2 linked regions of the Arabidopsis thaliana genome follow. The protein of the gene in region 2 interacts with the protein of the main gene of each other region in a pairwise test. Each region holds a gene or a part of one and is shown on either strand. Other genes may lie near its edges.

Evidence for each region.
Region 1: the proteins of UBC11 (region 2) and AT3G49810 interact in a two-hybrid assay, tested with the Arabidopsis thaliana proteins (one large-scale study listed by BioGRID).

Annotation. Positions count from the first base shown.
Region 1 is NC_003074.8:18,473,195-18,480,968, forward strand, and holds AT3G49810 (ARM repeat superfamily protein), read right to left. Parts: upstream 3,839-7,774; 5' UTR 3,089-3,838; coding exon 1,742-3,088; 3' UTR 1,111-1,741; downstream 1-1,110. Other genes in the region: AT3G49800 (BSD domain-containing protein), read right to left, coding at 1-482. UniProt on the Arabidopsis thaliana protein: Functions as an E3 ubiquitin ligase.
Region 2 is NC_003074.8:2,637,400-2,645,173, forward strand, and holds UBC11 (ubiquitin-conjugating enzyme 11), read left to right. Parts: upstream 1-3,612; 5' UTR 3,613-3,826; exon of another isoform or gene 3,827-3,966; intron 3,967-4,068; 5' UTR 4,069-4,087; coding exon 4,088-4,157; intron 4,158-4,525; coding exon 4,526-4,653; intron 4,654-4,735; coding exon 4,736-4,840; intron 4,841-4,946; coding exon 4,947-5,090; 3' UTR 5,091-5,520; downstream 5,521-7,774. Other genes in the region: AT3G08680 (Leucine-rich repeat protein kinase family protein), read left to right, coding at 1,192-2,473, 2,551-3,191; UBC12 (ubiquitin-conjugating enzyme 12), read left to right, coding at 6,083-6,152, 6,562-6,692, 6,784-6,888, 7,003-7,146. UniProt on the Arabidopsis thaliana protein: Accepts the ubiquitin from the E1 complex and catalyzes its covalent attachment to other proteins. Mediates the selective degradation of short-lived and abnormal proteins.

The sequences.
Region 1 (7,774 bases), about 16 Mb from region 2:
TTTCCAATCGCAACATCACGGTTCTTCGAATCCACACCTTCCGATCCCAATTGCAAGAAATTCGAAGCCATATTTGTAAACTTCGATACCGGTAAGTTTCCAGAGAGTTTCGAGATCCCAGTCTTAAATCTACCTCCGATCTCAACGAAATCGTTCCTGATTCCAGCAATCAGATCCTCATCACCTTCCGCGAGATCCGATGACTTCCGAGTCTCCTCATCCACATGATCCGCCGTATCGGAAGAAGAAGGAGGTGGCGCGAGGAAAGAAGCAACGCCCCATAGCTGACTTCTTAAGGTCTTGGTGAGTTCAGAGATGTCTTCCTTCACGCCTCGTGGAGACTGTGTTTGCAACACCGATGGCGAAGACGGTTGATCTGAGCCGGAATTTTCAATCGAATTGGTCTTAATCGTTTCCTTTTGATCATATTCTTCCTCATCGATCTTCAGAGAATTCGCAATGGATCTAGCAAGCCATGCCATTTTTTTGGGGATCTCTCACAAGTCTCTCGAGTATCTCTCTCTTAATCCGCGACCTTTAACGAGACACCATTGACGCTAAATATTCAACCTTACGAAACGTCGTCGCTGGATTAGTTAATGAGCTACGTAAAAATAGCCCATAAGATTGAAAGTCCAGCCCATCTAGGGGCTAGGGTATGCGGGACACCATTCAATTTAAGAAACGTCGTTGTTTAATTATGCAAATGGGCTTAGTAGCTAAAGCCCATAAGGTACAATATCTAGCCCATCTATAGGTTTGGTTACTGTTATTCTCTGTTACAGAGTTTTATATGTCAAGACAAAAACTCTCACATCACACTGTGTTATACACAAACCCACTCAAAACAGAGATTTGCTCAGACTCATTTCCAAAAACAGGACAAGTAAAATAAGCCTATGTTTATTTTTGTGTTAAAAAACAGTAGAAATTGTTGAATGATTCACTTGTCAAATCTCACATTTCTTTTCAATTGTTCATTACAACAGTAGTAGTTCAGAACAATGTATGGAGACTTTTGGTCTCCACCACAACTTATGTGCTCTACTTATTAGACAAGAATCAAAATTCACATCATACTGTACTTTGAGATGTCACTCTATGCAATAACAGTGATTGATTTTTCAAGAATCACGTTTTTGATATTTACTTCGTTGAAGACAATAAGGAGGCTGAGAACAAAGATGAAATCATGACAATTGTCTAATTCCTAATCTAAGTAAAGCTAAAAGAAAACATTGAATGAAGAAAAAAAGATTCAAAAGCTTAAAAGAGGCTTCTACAAGTTCAGGGTCAAAGATTTTGCTTTTTTTTTTTTTTTTTTTTCTCTGTTGTGAATGGTCAAAAAGCAAAACAACCTCTCACAAGAACCCAAAGTAGAGAGGTTTAACTTAATATGGTTCCTTTCTTCAAATTCTTCTTTTTCTTTGTTCTTCTGAAATTGATTTGAGCCAGAGGCGGTAACTTTACACAGTTTTTTTCTAATTCCCAATGCTTATTGCAAAACGAACCAATATGGTAACATTACATACCGATCCCTCAACCACCCGGTTTCTTCGTCTTCCCCATGTTTCCATCAGCTGATTGCCTCTTCCTTTGAATTGTTACCACCAAAACCAATAGCTCAATCTTCAAACTCATCATCTATATATACATCAGGGCAAAGGCAGATTCGTAATGCAATGCACATTTACCGTTTCATGGATAACCCGCTGAATCCTGTGATCAATCAGTGCCAATGCTATTGGATTGTCCTTGTGAGTTTGCATTTGGAAATAAACATGGTGTCTGAATAATGTAGACTACAAAGCTTAAGTAGCTCTGCTGACCGCTGCTTCAACGCTGCATCACACCCGCTCTGGATCACGAGTAACAGCTTTGCAGCAAGACCAACCTCAACAGCAAGTGGTGAACATTCTTCTGGAGCTAATTTGCAGACAGACCAAAGAATCGACAGCGCGTAGTTAGTGCAATTCTCAGACACCCTCATCAGCACCCTAACTGTATAAGGTATTGTGTTTGCAGAGTCTTTGACAGCAACTCTTCCTTCCACGTCTGTACACAAAGCATCAAGAACAAACAGAGCTAACTCCAAACATTCCGGGTCTAAAGACGGTAAGATATCAACTAATTGAGGCACTGCTCCAATGCTAACCATCAAGCTTCGAACTTGTTTATGAACCGAAATCGGTTTAAGCAACCGAAGTGCAGGAGATACTCCATTTCTATGTCTCTTATCCTTAACCAATCTCATTAACCCAACAAGCAAACTATGACTTGAAACAAGCTCTGCTCTAAACCCTTTCTCTTCCACCAATCCTCTAATCAATCTAGCACAATTGATCTTAGTCTCATTAGATCCATCATTCAACATATCAACAATCAAAGAAACCTTAGCTGGTTGCATCAAGCCGGATTTCGAATCAGAATCAAGATCAAGACTCACAAGAATAGCAACAACCTCAGATCCAACAGCATGAGAAGTAAAAGGACCCAAAAGAGAAGAGATCACAGAGACACCACCTTCTTCAACAACAGTCTTCCTCGCCATAAGATGAGCAATAACAATCTGTTTAAGCTCACTCAAAGCATGAACCCTAGCTTGACCTTTAGCTTTCTTCAAAGTCCCCAAAATCTCAATAGCTCGTCCTTGAACATCCTCAGAACGTTTCTTCATCAACACATACTTCTGAGAGAACCAAGTATAGATCAAATGATGAAGAGTTTTATTAGGAGTTACCGTATCATCCCAAAGCTCTTGCATTGTAGTAGGACAAGTCAAGTGACCTAGGTTAAACCATTTGTGAATGTTTAACCTTTCATAGGTTTGACCAGTACACAAAGTCACAGGATCTTGCATCGGCTCTAAGGAGATAGGACAAATGAAAACAGAAGGTATATCTTGTAAATCTAGCTCCTTTATCATCTTCTTCAGATCCAATTTCTCATCAACAACTCCAACACCACCACCATTAACACCACCGAGAACTCCATCTTTCACTGCAGTATCCAGATCTAAGACTTGCCCATCACCACCACCTTCAAATCCTATTAACCCATCTCTCTTTAACGGCTGAAACATCGGCATTTCGATAGAATCTATAGAAACAAAAAAATCTCAATAAAAAAACAGACTTTTCTTCTCAAACTCACAACATTTGGGAAAATAATGTGAGCTGAAAAAGAAACGCATGTCTTTATCTCAGAAAGAAGCGTTAAAACAACAACAACAACACAATCTTCTTCTTCTTCTTTTTCCTCTTTGCTTTAATTTAGTTTTTCTCTTTTCAACGGTCAAAAAGAAGATTCATTCAACTCTTGTTAATAATATAACATCATAAACACATGATTGAAACCCAACTGCTCCCAAAAAAAATGTGAATTTTATAACCACAAATTTCGAGAAACAGAAAAAAGGAGGAATCATGAAGAATAATGAGAAGGAAACCAAAAAAAAATCAACGAACCCAGTACAAAGGTTTGAACTTTCAATACCAGAAAATCTCAAAAGATAAAAAAGGAAGAGAATTTGAGAAAACCCAGATGACGAAATCAAAAATAAATTCACGAATTCGTGAGAATGACGAAGAAGAAACCCGTACTCTCTCTTTTGTTTGTTTGTTTCTCTCTTACCTTCTTCTGAGGTAGTGTGAGTGATTGTTTTGTTTTTGTTTCTTTGAGAGGAAAAAAAAATGGGGTGAATAAAATAAAAAGGAGAAAAAAGGGGAGAGATTAAAGATTTGTTGAAAGATTCGGGTGGAAAATCTAAAAAAATTAAAGATAAGGTGACCGGTGAATTCACTGGTTATAGCCGGTCATTTAGTCCTCTCGACTCGCGTACCACACGTGCAAGCTACACCACATGTGACATGCCCTCACCTCCCGGTTTTATTATAATACAACTCTCTTTTTTAATTACCATTGAAAAACTCAGCTTAATAATTTTGATTTCCAATTTTGTCCCTACCTTTTATAGTTTTAAAACGTAATTAATTAGGCAACCAAGAAAATTCTCCCAATAATAAAGAATTAGTAATTTTAAACACATTATTTCAGTCAAATTATACAGGAGATGTAATTGTTCCTTCCAATAAAGTGTGGAATAAACACTTTGGTATGTGAATGAATAGTTTTAGTTTTTTCTGATAATATTTTGGATTTAAAATTGGGAATATCCTTTAATTAGTCAAAAAAAGACAACAGTGAAATTCTAAATTTTCTTTTAGCTTTTTTTTTCTTAATATCCACGCTAACTAAGGATAAATACTTTTCCCATTTATGTTAAAAAGATGTTTGTTAAGGTTAAGGATTTTGTTAAAAAAACAAAAAAAATGTTGAAGGATAAACAAAAATGAGGGTAAAGTGGTAAAAATGAAAGAGTAAAGAAAATCCGGCAACGTAGTCAAAAAAGCTGAGAAGTTTGCACTAAACTCCAAACACCCACGGGGAAGAGTAACCCGTACAGGTCGGGGCACGTGTGACGATAATTTCTATGTTTAATTTCTTAATTACTTTTTTAATTTCAATCTTATCATCGTTATTAATTCCAAAGGAACAACTCTTGATTTTTTGTTTGTTATACCAATACCTTCCTTCACCTCTTTTTAGTATATAAAAAAAATTAAAACTGAAAAAAAAAACCGAAACCGATTACCCGAACCGAAACCGACCCAAATAATTGGATCTAAAACCGAATCCGAATCGAAAGATTTATTATATTGAATTCTAAATTCCTAAACTAAAAAAATCGAATCCAACCACAATCCAAAAATACTCAAATATTTTTATTCGAAAATATAAATTTTACCTTAAACCCAAAATTTTATCCGAAAATTCAAGTATTTACCCGAATATATTCGAACCCAATTAAATCTAAACCTATATTTTAGATTTATTATATTAAATTCTAACCCAAACGGATATTTCCCTATAATATTACTTCAAAAAAAATTATAATAGCTATTAAAAAAGCTTATTGCCAAACAACTTTTTGAATCGATTTAATCTGCTGACGAATAAGAATTTTTATATAAAAACAACATTTAAAAATTGGTTAAATTGTTTCACATAATTGCAGTTTCAAAATAAAAAAGTTTTAAAAATAAATATTTTTTTGAGAAATATACTTTATAAATATCACACACTATTAGAAAAGAAAAAAAAAACAGAGAGGAGTGAGATGGGGACCACAAACAAAAGTGCCAGCTAGACATAATATTTGACCGTGACAGTGTCTTGCTTTGACTATAAGCGTCGATCGTCTCCGGGTCTAATCTCTTTGCCCCCTTTGACTGTTCCTTTTACCCAATCATATCCCACCACGTGTCCACATCTGCCTCTTCCCCACCCAACCTTCATTTGTTAATTAATTTGGTTTTCAAATTTTTCATATTTTTAACAAAACAAACTCTCTACCAAATCAAGATAATTTAATAATAAAACTTGGAAATTGATGGGAGTGGGGATAGAGAAAGAGATAGAGATCTGTAAGAGAGACCATGTGTTCTTTTTGTTGCAGTTGAGTACTGACCCATAACTGCAAAGTTTGCTGTCCAAACATATATTTTTATTTATTATTTCATTGAAAAATATATTGATTACTTATTACTGGACCCATTTTTGAAATGAAATTGCAGATTCAAATGAAATGATTTTCAGAGTTGTTGATAATGATAAAACCAAAAATTTTGTGTCTATGACGTTTTTTTTTTCTAGTCAAACTAAGATGATATACTAAAGTGGACCGGCAAGTGTTTAAATGTGATATGACTTGTTTTGTAATCAAGTTTTTTTAGCCTTTGGGATGATGGGAGATTGATAGTGATATTATAAAAATATAATAACAATAACTATATCAAAAAACAAAATTGATTTAACATATCATCTAAGTAGTAATACGGACCGAGTGCTAATGACTGGTGTGAGTGGTGGTGACTAGAGGTGGACCTACGAATAAAAGCGTAACCATTTCATGAAAACGAAGTGACGAAAATTCAACTACTGTGTGTCGTATTTTCGTTGTTGGGATCAACAGTTTTTAATACGTGTGTTGAATTTGTTCTTGTTTTATGTTTGTTGAGCTAGAAGGTTTCAAATTATGAAAGAATGAACTGACACTAACCAATTAAGTGGTGGTCTAGTGGTAGACGTCGACATTTCAAAAGAGGTAGGTATGATTTCTGATTCAAGTCTTGTTTGGGACAAGATGATTTACGCATGTCTGCATTGTATACTTACGTATAATATCAATCGCTGCAACATGTAATGGAGATCGAGACTACTAGCTCTTAATTTATGAGCTAAATATATAAAGAAACTGACTCTAATGACACTTAATCATGTAGATTCTTCGACTTGATGGGGATGAGTGGGCTCTAAAGACATGATGCACTGAGCAGTTCGTGATTTTGGAGAATGTGAGGAAAGGTAACTATAGGAATTGATCACTAATTCGATGGTATATCGGATTGGCAATGTAACACTCATAACTTTTGATGGTAGAGAGTTTGTGGATGTCAAATATCGTTCAACTATGAGAAATAACTTGACTTCTATAGTTCTATGAGAATACAGTGAAATAATGCCACTTTAGGTAATGAGGTTTTGTTGTGTCAATTTATAATGATGATGACTGCAACTAATACAATAGAAATACTCTTGTATCAACTTAAAATCGTTGCGGAAAAGGTTCAATTTGTGTCTAAACATATATGAGATCACATTGTTAATTGTATAGCAGATTCAAACATATGTTTTAAAGAAAATGAATTTACTGATATAGAAGGGACTAATAAAAGGCAAGAAAATTCGTAGGTCGATTATGGAAGATTAATGAAAAATAACAAACTAATTCAACAATAACATAGTTCTAATCAAATTGTTTTTTTCTTGCTTTGTCGTTATGACTTTATGCCATTTTATTCTACCATTTTTGTCTACGCTTTCGTCATTCTCGGTGTTACCAATCGAGCCCATGACATCGGTAAACATGAATACACTATAATGCATTGCCTACGCATATGTTTATCTTTAGTATTTTAGGCTTTAGCTCATTTATTTTAACGTTAAAGAAGTGTGAAACAATCTTTTAATAAATGCAAAAGTAGAAGCACGAAGGAATAAAAAAGGTATATACCGCATTCCTACGCGTATTCTATATGTTTGATTTTCTAGCCATTTTAGCTTTGGACTGTCACGTGAGTCGTGACGCTCTACCCCCTAAATCTATGTCTATAGTAGTATGTACATATCAGACACATGCATGAGGCACCTATATATTTGTAAATAAATTATACACTATATGACGTATGGATTCAATGATACCAAGAGTTTTTGCTTGTAACGCCCAAGATTTTCGAAACCTACAATCTAGGATCTAAATAGTGTACCTCCAGTTATAAATTATATTTGTCGCTCTAGATAAGTTAGAGTAATGGCCAAATCTCGATAACAATTTATTTGTGATCTCCTCACATGAATTTCTTTGGAACCAAATTAATCCCAAACGATAGGATTCAATAATCAGTTAAAGTTTTGTAGTATTCGATAGTGGGTTAGAGTAATGTAGTGATGCAAACAAGAGTGCTAATCTATTGGGTCTATACATTGGATCAAATTTAATATATGGGCCGAACTATCATACCAAGCGTCATGCTTTGAAGAAAGTAGTTGAACCAAGCCATTATACCCTTTTAACTACTAACTAACCCATCTCAAATATCCAGATTTAAATTGGTGTCCATATTATATGAAATAAGTTAAGACTGATTTGCCA
Region 2 (7,774 bases):
AAATGTTGGGAATTCAGTAAATGCCGTTTATTAAAAGCTCTTATGTATAAATTCATTTAGAATAAAAACAAAGAGAAATTAACAAAAGGACAAATATTTAATTGAGCTTAGCAATAAAAAAAAAATCTAAAAAATTCGGAAGAGAGTCAAAGGGGGACTTAAAGCCAAAGAGAGCAAAGCAAATCGGAGTACAGAGAAGAAGAAGAGAGATTGGAATCTGAAACTGTAACATCGAGATTTACGTTTCTCCGTCGGCGTCACGCCGAAGCTTCCATACTCCAGAAACCCCAAAACGCTTATTTCTCAAAAATCTCCACTCTCTCTCTTCTGAATCTTCAATCACTTGGGGTTGTGTCACTGAATCTGCATCAATGGCGATTCCAGATTCCTCACTCTTTTCTGCTTTTGACTTTAGCTCTAGCTTCTTCTTCACGAAATGCCGTTGTTGTTAAAAAGTGATTTCTCCACTATCCCATTTCCTTTGGCATTTATTCTCCACTCTCTCTCACTTGTCTTCTTCTTCTTCTACGATCAGCTCACCAATGTCCTGAACCATTCTCCTCTGAATCAACCTCTAAGGTCTCTCTCACTTTCGATCTCTGTTTTCCCTCTTGTTTTGGGGTTTATTAGCTTCGTTGTTTATTCCTTTAAAAGATTTCTTCTTTCTCAATTTCAATTACTCCGTTTAGCTTAGCTGGAGAAACCCTAGTTTGTAGATTGCAGATCTGGGTTAATCAAGTATCTGTGCACACATTTATGTCTAAAATTAGTTACTTTCGTAATTGGATTTGTTTTTTTTGTGAAGATTTATTATTTGAAGTCAAACAGATTTCAGCTGATTGAATCAATGTGTGCATATAGCTTCCATAATTTCATATTTTGATTTGAGAATCGAGTAATGTTGCTTTGGACTTTATCATCAGCATTCCCACTTTGGTTTGAGAAATTACGCTATTGTATCTTTGTCATTATTAAGGAAGCTTTTCGTTGTGTTGATGATCTTTTTACTCATGATACCTGTGATGTGTAGGTGTCATTCTTGGCTACTTTATCCATAGATACATTTCTCATATTGAGTTTAGCTTTTATGTGGCTATAAATCATTACATGATGTGTTTTGTGTTCTCTTGCAGTTGCTGTTGAATGAGAAAGCTTTGATGTGAGCGAGCCTGAGAGTGTAACAAAGGACTGATGATGAAGATTATTGCGGCGTTTCTCTTCCTCTTGGTCACGACTTTTGTTTCCCGTTGTTTGTCTGCAGACATAGAATCGGACAAGCAAGCACTGCTTGAGTTTGCATCTCTTGTTCCTCACAGTCGCAAACTCAACTGGAACTCCACTATTCCAATCTGTGCCTCTTGGACTGGTATCACCTGCTCCAAGAACAACGCCCGTGTAACCGCACTCCGTTTGCCTGGATCTGGACTTTATGGACCTTTACCAGAGAAAACATTTGAGAAGCTTGATGCCCTCAGGATCATTAGCCTTAGATCCAACCACCTTCAAGGGAACATTCCATCTGTCATTCTTTCACTTCCTTTTATCCGATCACTATACTTTCATGAAAACAACTTTTCTGGTACTATCCCTCCCGTCCTTTCTCATCGCCTCGTTAATCTTGATCTCTCCGCCAACTCGCTCTCGGGAAACATTCCCACGAGTCTACAAAACCTTACCCAGCTCACTGATCTCAGCCTGCAAAACAATTCTCTTAGTGGTCCAATTCCTAACCTCCCTCCTCGCCTTAAATACTTGAATTTGAGCTTCAATAACCTTAACGGGTCAGTTCCATCTTCTGTCAAGTCCTTCCCAGCATCCTCATTTCAAGGTAATAGCCTTCTATGCGGTGCTCCTCTGACTCCATGCCCAGAAAACACCACTGCACCATCTCCTTCACCGACAACACCAACAGAAGGTCCTGGTACAACCAATATAGGTCGTGGTACCGCCAAAAAAGTTCTCTCCACTGGTGCTATTGTGGGCATTGCAGTTGGAGGTTCGGTTCTGTTGTTTATCATTCTTGCCATCATAACCCTTTGCTGTGCCAAGAAAAGAGATGGCGGGCAAGATAGCACCGCAGTGCCAAAAGCTAAACCCGGGAGGAGTGACAACAAGGCTGAGGAGTTTGGGAGTGGGGTGCAAGAGGCGGAGAAGAACAAGCTGGTCTTCTTTGAAGGAAGTTCATATAACTTTGATCTTGAGGACTTGCTCAGAGCCTCGGCTGAAGTTTTAGGGAAAGGAAGCTATGGCACAACGTATAAGGCCATCTTAGAGGAAGGAACCACGGTGGTGGTGAAGAGACTGAAAGAAGTAGCAGCTGGGAAACGGGAGTTCGAGCAGCAGATGGAAGCCGTGGGAAGGATCAGTCCACACGTGAATGTAGCTCCTCTCCGTGCCTATTACTTTTCAAAAGACGAGAAGCTACTCGTGTATGATTACTACCAAGGGGGCAATTTCTCCATGCTGCTTCATGGTAATATGATGTTTTACATGTTACTCAAGGTTATAAAAAGTGGCTTTAAAGTAACACTTTAGATGAATTCTATGCAGGAAACAATGAGGGAGGAAGAGCAGCGTTGGACTGGGAAACAAGGTTAAGGATCTGTTTGGAAGCTGCGAGGGGAATTTCTCACATCCATTCTGCATCTGGTGCTAAACTCCTCCATGGAAACATCAAATCACCAAATGTCCTCTTAACCCAAGAACTTCATGTCTGTGTCTCTGATTTCGGTATAGCTCCATTGATGAGCCATCACACCTTGATCCCATCAAGAAGCTTAGGTTACAGAGCACCCGAGGCCATAGAAACACGGAAACATACCCAGAAGTCCGACGTATACAGCTTTGGTGTACTGTTGCTAGAAATGCTGACTGGGAAAGCAGCAGGGAAGACTACTGGGCATGAAGAAGTGGTGGATCTGCCAAAGTGGGTGCAATCAGTGGTGAGAGAGGAGTGGACTGGAGAAGTGTTTGACGTAGAGCTGATCAAGCAGCAACACAACGTAGAGGAAGAAATGGTGCAGATGTTGCAGATAGCAATGGCATGTGTGTCTAAGCATCCAGATTCTAGGCCTTCAATGGAGGAAGTGGTTAACATGATGGAGGAGATTCGACCTTCAGGGTCCGGTCCTGGTTCTGGTAACAGAGCCTCCTCGCCGGAGATGATCAGAAGCTCTGATAGCCCGGTTTAGATTGGTTTTAAATTCTCTTTCTCTCATTCTCAAATCATTATTTATTTTTGCTTTTCCTTCTTCTTCTTCTTCATAAACCGTTTATTTTAGTTCTCTATGTCTGACTGCATAATTTATTCCAATCAATATCTGGAATTGTAGTGTAATTGAAACCCTCACCATGAATGGTTGTAGTTCTTAGATTGGTTATAAGTGTGCGACTAGTTTTGAATTTTCATTTGTTGTTGTATGATTCGTTTAAATTAAATCACAAGAGTCTTTGGGTGTTTGAAAATCTAACTGAAATAGTGATACAATTATATGTGAAATTTATCGTCTCAAAAAGATAAACTACATGAGTAAATAAATAAAAATAAAATCATTGCTCTGTATTTTTTGACTGCATGAGTCCTAATTGGTGAAATAAAAAAACTTTTGGCACGAGAATTAATAAATATATAGAAAAGGTGAAATAGGTGAGGCGGTACTTGCTGATAGAATCAGAAGCTTCGAGACTGACTTGTTTTAGATTCTCTGACTATAAAGAAAGGCAAAGTAACAAGTTTCGTTTTCTCCTTTGCACTCCATTTTTATTCTCGATTCTCTTCTCTCCCGATAAAGAAGCTCTCGCTTTGTGTTGTCCGTCCTTCTTCCAGGTCTAATTCCACCATTTCTCTTTGGTTAAACCCTAATTTCTTTCTCTCCCGAATCGTCCTCTGTTTTTGTTTTGCGCGATTAGTTTCCACCGCTTAATAATAGGGTTTCCGATCACTTACGTTTTGTGTTGTTTTGTTCGGTCTCTGGTTCTTCCACTGTGATCTGTTTTGTTCTTAAGTTGATTGTCTTAAGTTATATCCTCTGTTCAATAATATTCTGGTCTTGTTGGGGGTTTCCACAGGTTTTCTCGTCTCTGACGCATGGCTTCTAAGAGGATCTTGAAGGAGCTCAAGGATCTGCAGAAGGATCCTCCTTCAAACTGCAGCGCTGGTAATCTCCCTTTTCTAATCTGATTTTAACCAATTACTTACCTGGCACTAATGACTCTGAATTAGGTTCCTTACTCTCTCACTAGATTGATGTAGGTTAGGGTATCAAGTATCATACTTTATTTCCTCAATCCATGTTATGCTTCTGATTTTTTTTTTGGTAAAAGCTTTGGTTTGCTAGACTCTTTGATTAACGCTGATCTCATGGATTTTGTTGTCTGTTATGCACTTCATATTTACCCTTTCCTGTCCTGTATTTGACAAGTATCCAGAACTCTGCATGGTTTTGAGTTTATGTCAAAGTGTCTCCTTTTGTAGCTCCTGCTAATATGTCTTTATTGATGTAATTTTGTTGTCACGTTGTTTTAGGTCCGGTGGCTGAGGACATGTTCCATTGGCAAGCCACTATCATGGGACCTCCTGAAAGTCCGTATGCCGGAGGAGTGTTTTTGGTTTCTATTCATTTCCCTCCGGATTATCCTTTCAAGCCACCAAAGGTAATGTGTTGTGTTATGAGACTCTTTATGATTCATCGGTTTTTATCATTGATCTTATGATGTGAATCCATCGATCTTGCAGGTGTCTTTTAAGACTAAGGTGTACCATCCAAACATCAATAGCAATGGAAGTATTTGCCTTGATATTTTGAAAGAGCAATGGAGCCCTGCTCTTACTATCTCTAAGGTTCGAGTTTGTGTATCTCTACTCCTACCATTTTAACACAAATTATGTTACTATCTTAGCCAATTTTGTGTGTTAACGCGAGCGATATTGATGCTGTGGAAATTAGGTTCTGTTGTCGATTTGCTCGCTGTTGACTGACCCAAACCCAGATGATCCTCTTGTGCCGGAGATAGCTCACATGTACAAGACAGATAGATCCAAGTACGAGTCAACTGCGAGAAGCTGGACACAAAAGTACGCAATGGGTTGATGATATAAGACAAAGCAAAGGATATGTTATTGCGCATCGGAATAAAATAATAACTTAAAAAAAATGCACTTGTTTGGTTTATCAAACGTTAGCAAGTATCGAACAACTTAGCTGCTCTTACTCCTCTTCTGTTCTGATCACTATAAACTAGTATTAATTTCGATTGTTGGGTCTACTTTTATTCTCTTGTTTCCCTCTCCTCACTTGGTTGCAGGAAACTGCAATTCTAATCGCCCCAAACGCAATGTTTGGACTGTTTTGGTACACTCTTGACATAAGGGGTTCCAATCTACACATGGATCAACCACAACCAAAACCAAACCAACTATGAGCCTTCCATAGTTAGGATTATACATTGCTCCCAAATACAAAACTCGTTCCTAATCTTCTATTAACTTATACCAAAGTTGGTATATTTATGATTAAATTATTGATTTTCTTAATTTTTTTAATATATTTCAAAAGTGTACATGGTTCTAATAAAACACTTAAGAAATTTTCCATATTGTTTACAATAGCTGTTTTAGGAAATATCATATCTATAGACCAAACCAAGAATATCTTTAGACCAAACCAAGAATAGGTGTTTTAGAAAATAAACATATCTTTGGTTGCAATTTTCCAATATCATCCGCCATGGGTCCCTACTAATAGGTCAGGCGGTACTTGCCGACAGAATCAGAAGCCTCGAGACTGACTTGTATTCTCCGACTATAAAAAAGAAGTAGAGGGTTTTAGGCTTTTCACGAATCTCTTCTCTCTTTTGTAGTGGCCTTGAAAAAAAGATTCAATCTCCTGTTGTGGTATGTTTCTTTTGATCCATCTTTCCTTTATGTTTTCTGTTTCAACTACTTCTTAGGGTTTATCATCACTTACGTTACGTATGTATTGTTTTATTCGTCTTCCTCTATGATATGTTATGTTCTTAGTTGAATTCCTTAATACTCATTGTGTGTTGCTTATCTCGTCCGCAGGTTTTCGAGTCTAAAAGCATGGCTTCTAAGAGGATTTCAAGGGAACTGAGGGATATGCAGAGACATCCTCCAGCAAACTGTAGCGCAGGTAATCTCCCTTTTCTTGGCTGATTTTGACTGATAGATTCACACTAAAAACACTTTTAGGGTTTGATATATGTCACACTTTTATTTCATCAATCCACATTATATGTTTCTGAGTTTTTTTTGGTAACGCTATGATTTGTTAGACTCTCTTTGGTTCTGTTATATATATGTACTCTGCATGAACCTTTTTTTTTTTTTTTTTTGTATTCGAGAAAACTCGTTAAACCTTTGCCTGGTACGATTAAGAATATCCAGAGGTTTAGCTTGCTTTTATTTCAAGTGTCTCCTTTTGTACTTCTTATTTATTCTGCCAATTTGTCTCTGTTCTATAAGAAGTATCACTTGATCATGCAGGTTTTATTGTCTTTTTCGATGAATAAATGGGTCTGATTGCAACGTCTTTCTTATAGGTCCTGTGGCTGAGGAGGACATATTCCATTGGCAAGCAACTATCATGGGACCGCATGACAGTCCGTATTCCGGAGGCGTATTTACGGTTTCTATTGATTTCTCTTCGGATTATCCTTTCAAGCCACCAAAGGTGTTGTGTTTTTTCAACACTAATTTAATCATCTGATGTGTAATGAAAATCTATGATCATCAGGCTTATTAGCGAGTGTACGATTTTGCAGGTGAATTTCAAGACTAAGGTGTACCACCCAAACATCGACAGCAAAGGAAGCATTTGCCTTGACATATTGAAAGAGCAATGGAGTCCTGCTCCTACCACATCCAAGGTTTGAGTTTTGTCTCTCTACTACTATTTTTTACCAAAGTCATGTTCTGTAAAAAAAAAACTAGTATATTGGTGAACTTTGTGCGAGTGATATTGATGGTGTGGAATTATATAGGTTTTGTTGTCGATTTGCTCGCTGCTGACTGACCCGAACCCAAATGATCCTCTTGTGCCGGAGATAGCTCATCTCTACAAGGTAGATAAATCAAAATACGAGTCAACTGCACAAAAATGGACACAGAAGTACGCGATGGGATGATAAGACAAAGGTGGTCTAGACAAGGAAAGGATGTCTTACTTGGCAATGGAAATAGAAAACTGAAGAAAAAACATTTACCTTTTCTGTTTTTTGGTTAGTTTTAGCAATGGCTGCTATGATGTGACGATCATAATCGAAAGACTTTTTTAGCTGCTCTTTTTTACTTGTCTTCAGTGCTCTGATCATATTCTTATTTTTCCAATTCCATTTTAATTGGAAACTGCTATTGCAACAACCTCGTAAATTTTTTTCTTTTTTAAACTATAGAATCGTTTTAAGTCTTTACCTAAATCAATAATCTTTAATCCTCTTTAGTATTTTTTTTTTGAGCATCAACTAAACACTATGGCAAAGTCTTCAACCGTATATAATAAAGTCAATTCTTTAATAAACAATGGTACTGCAGAATTTGAGTTGCCGACAGAAAAAAAAAAGTACCGCAAATCTAAAGAATCTGTTGAAAGTACGGTTAATAATAAACAAAACAGATTTTTTATTATTTACACGAATTGATAGCTAATAAAGAGTGAGAAAAAAAACAAAAAAAAAGTGGAATGGACAGAGAGGAGGAGGGTAGAGTGGTAAATTTAGTAAGAAGGGGAAATTGGGTCTGACGCGGTCATAATGG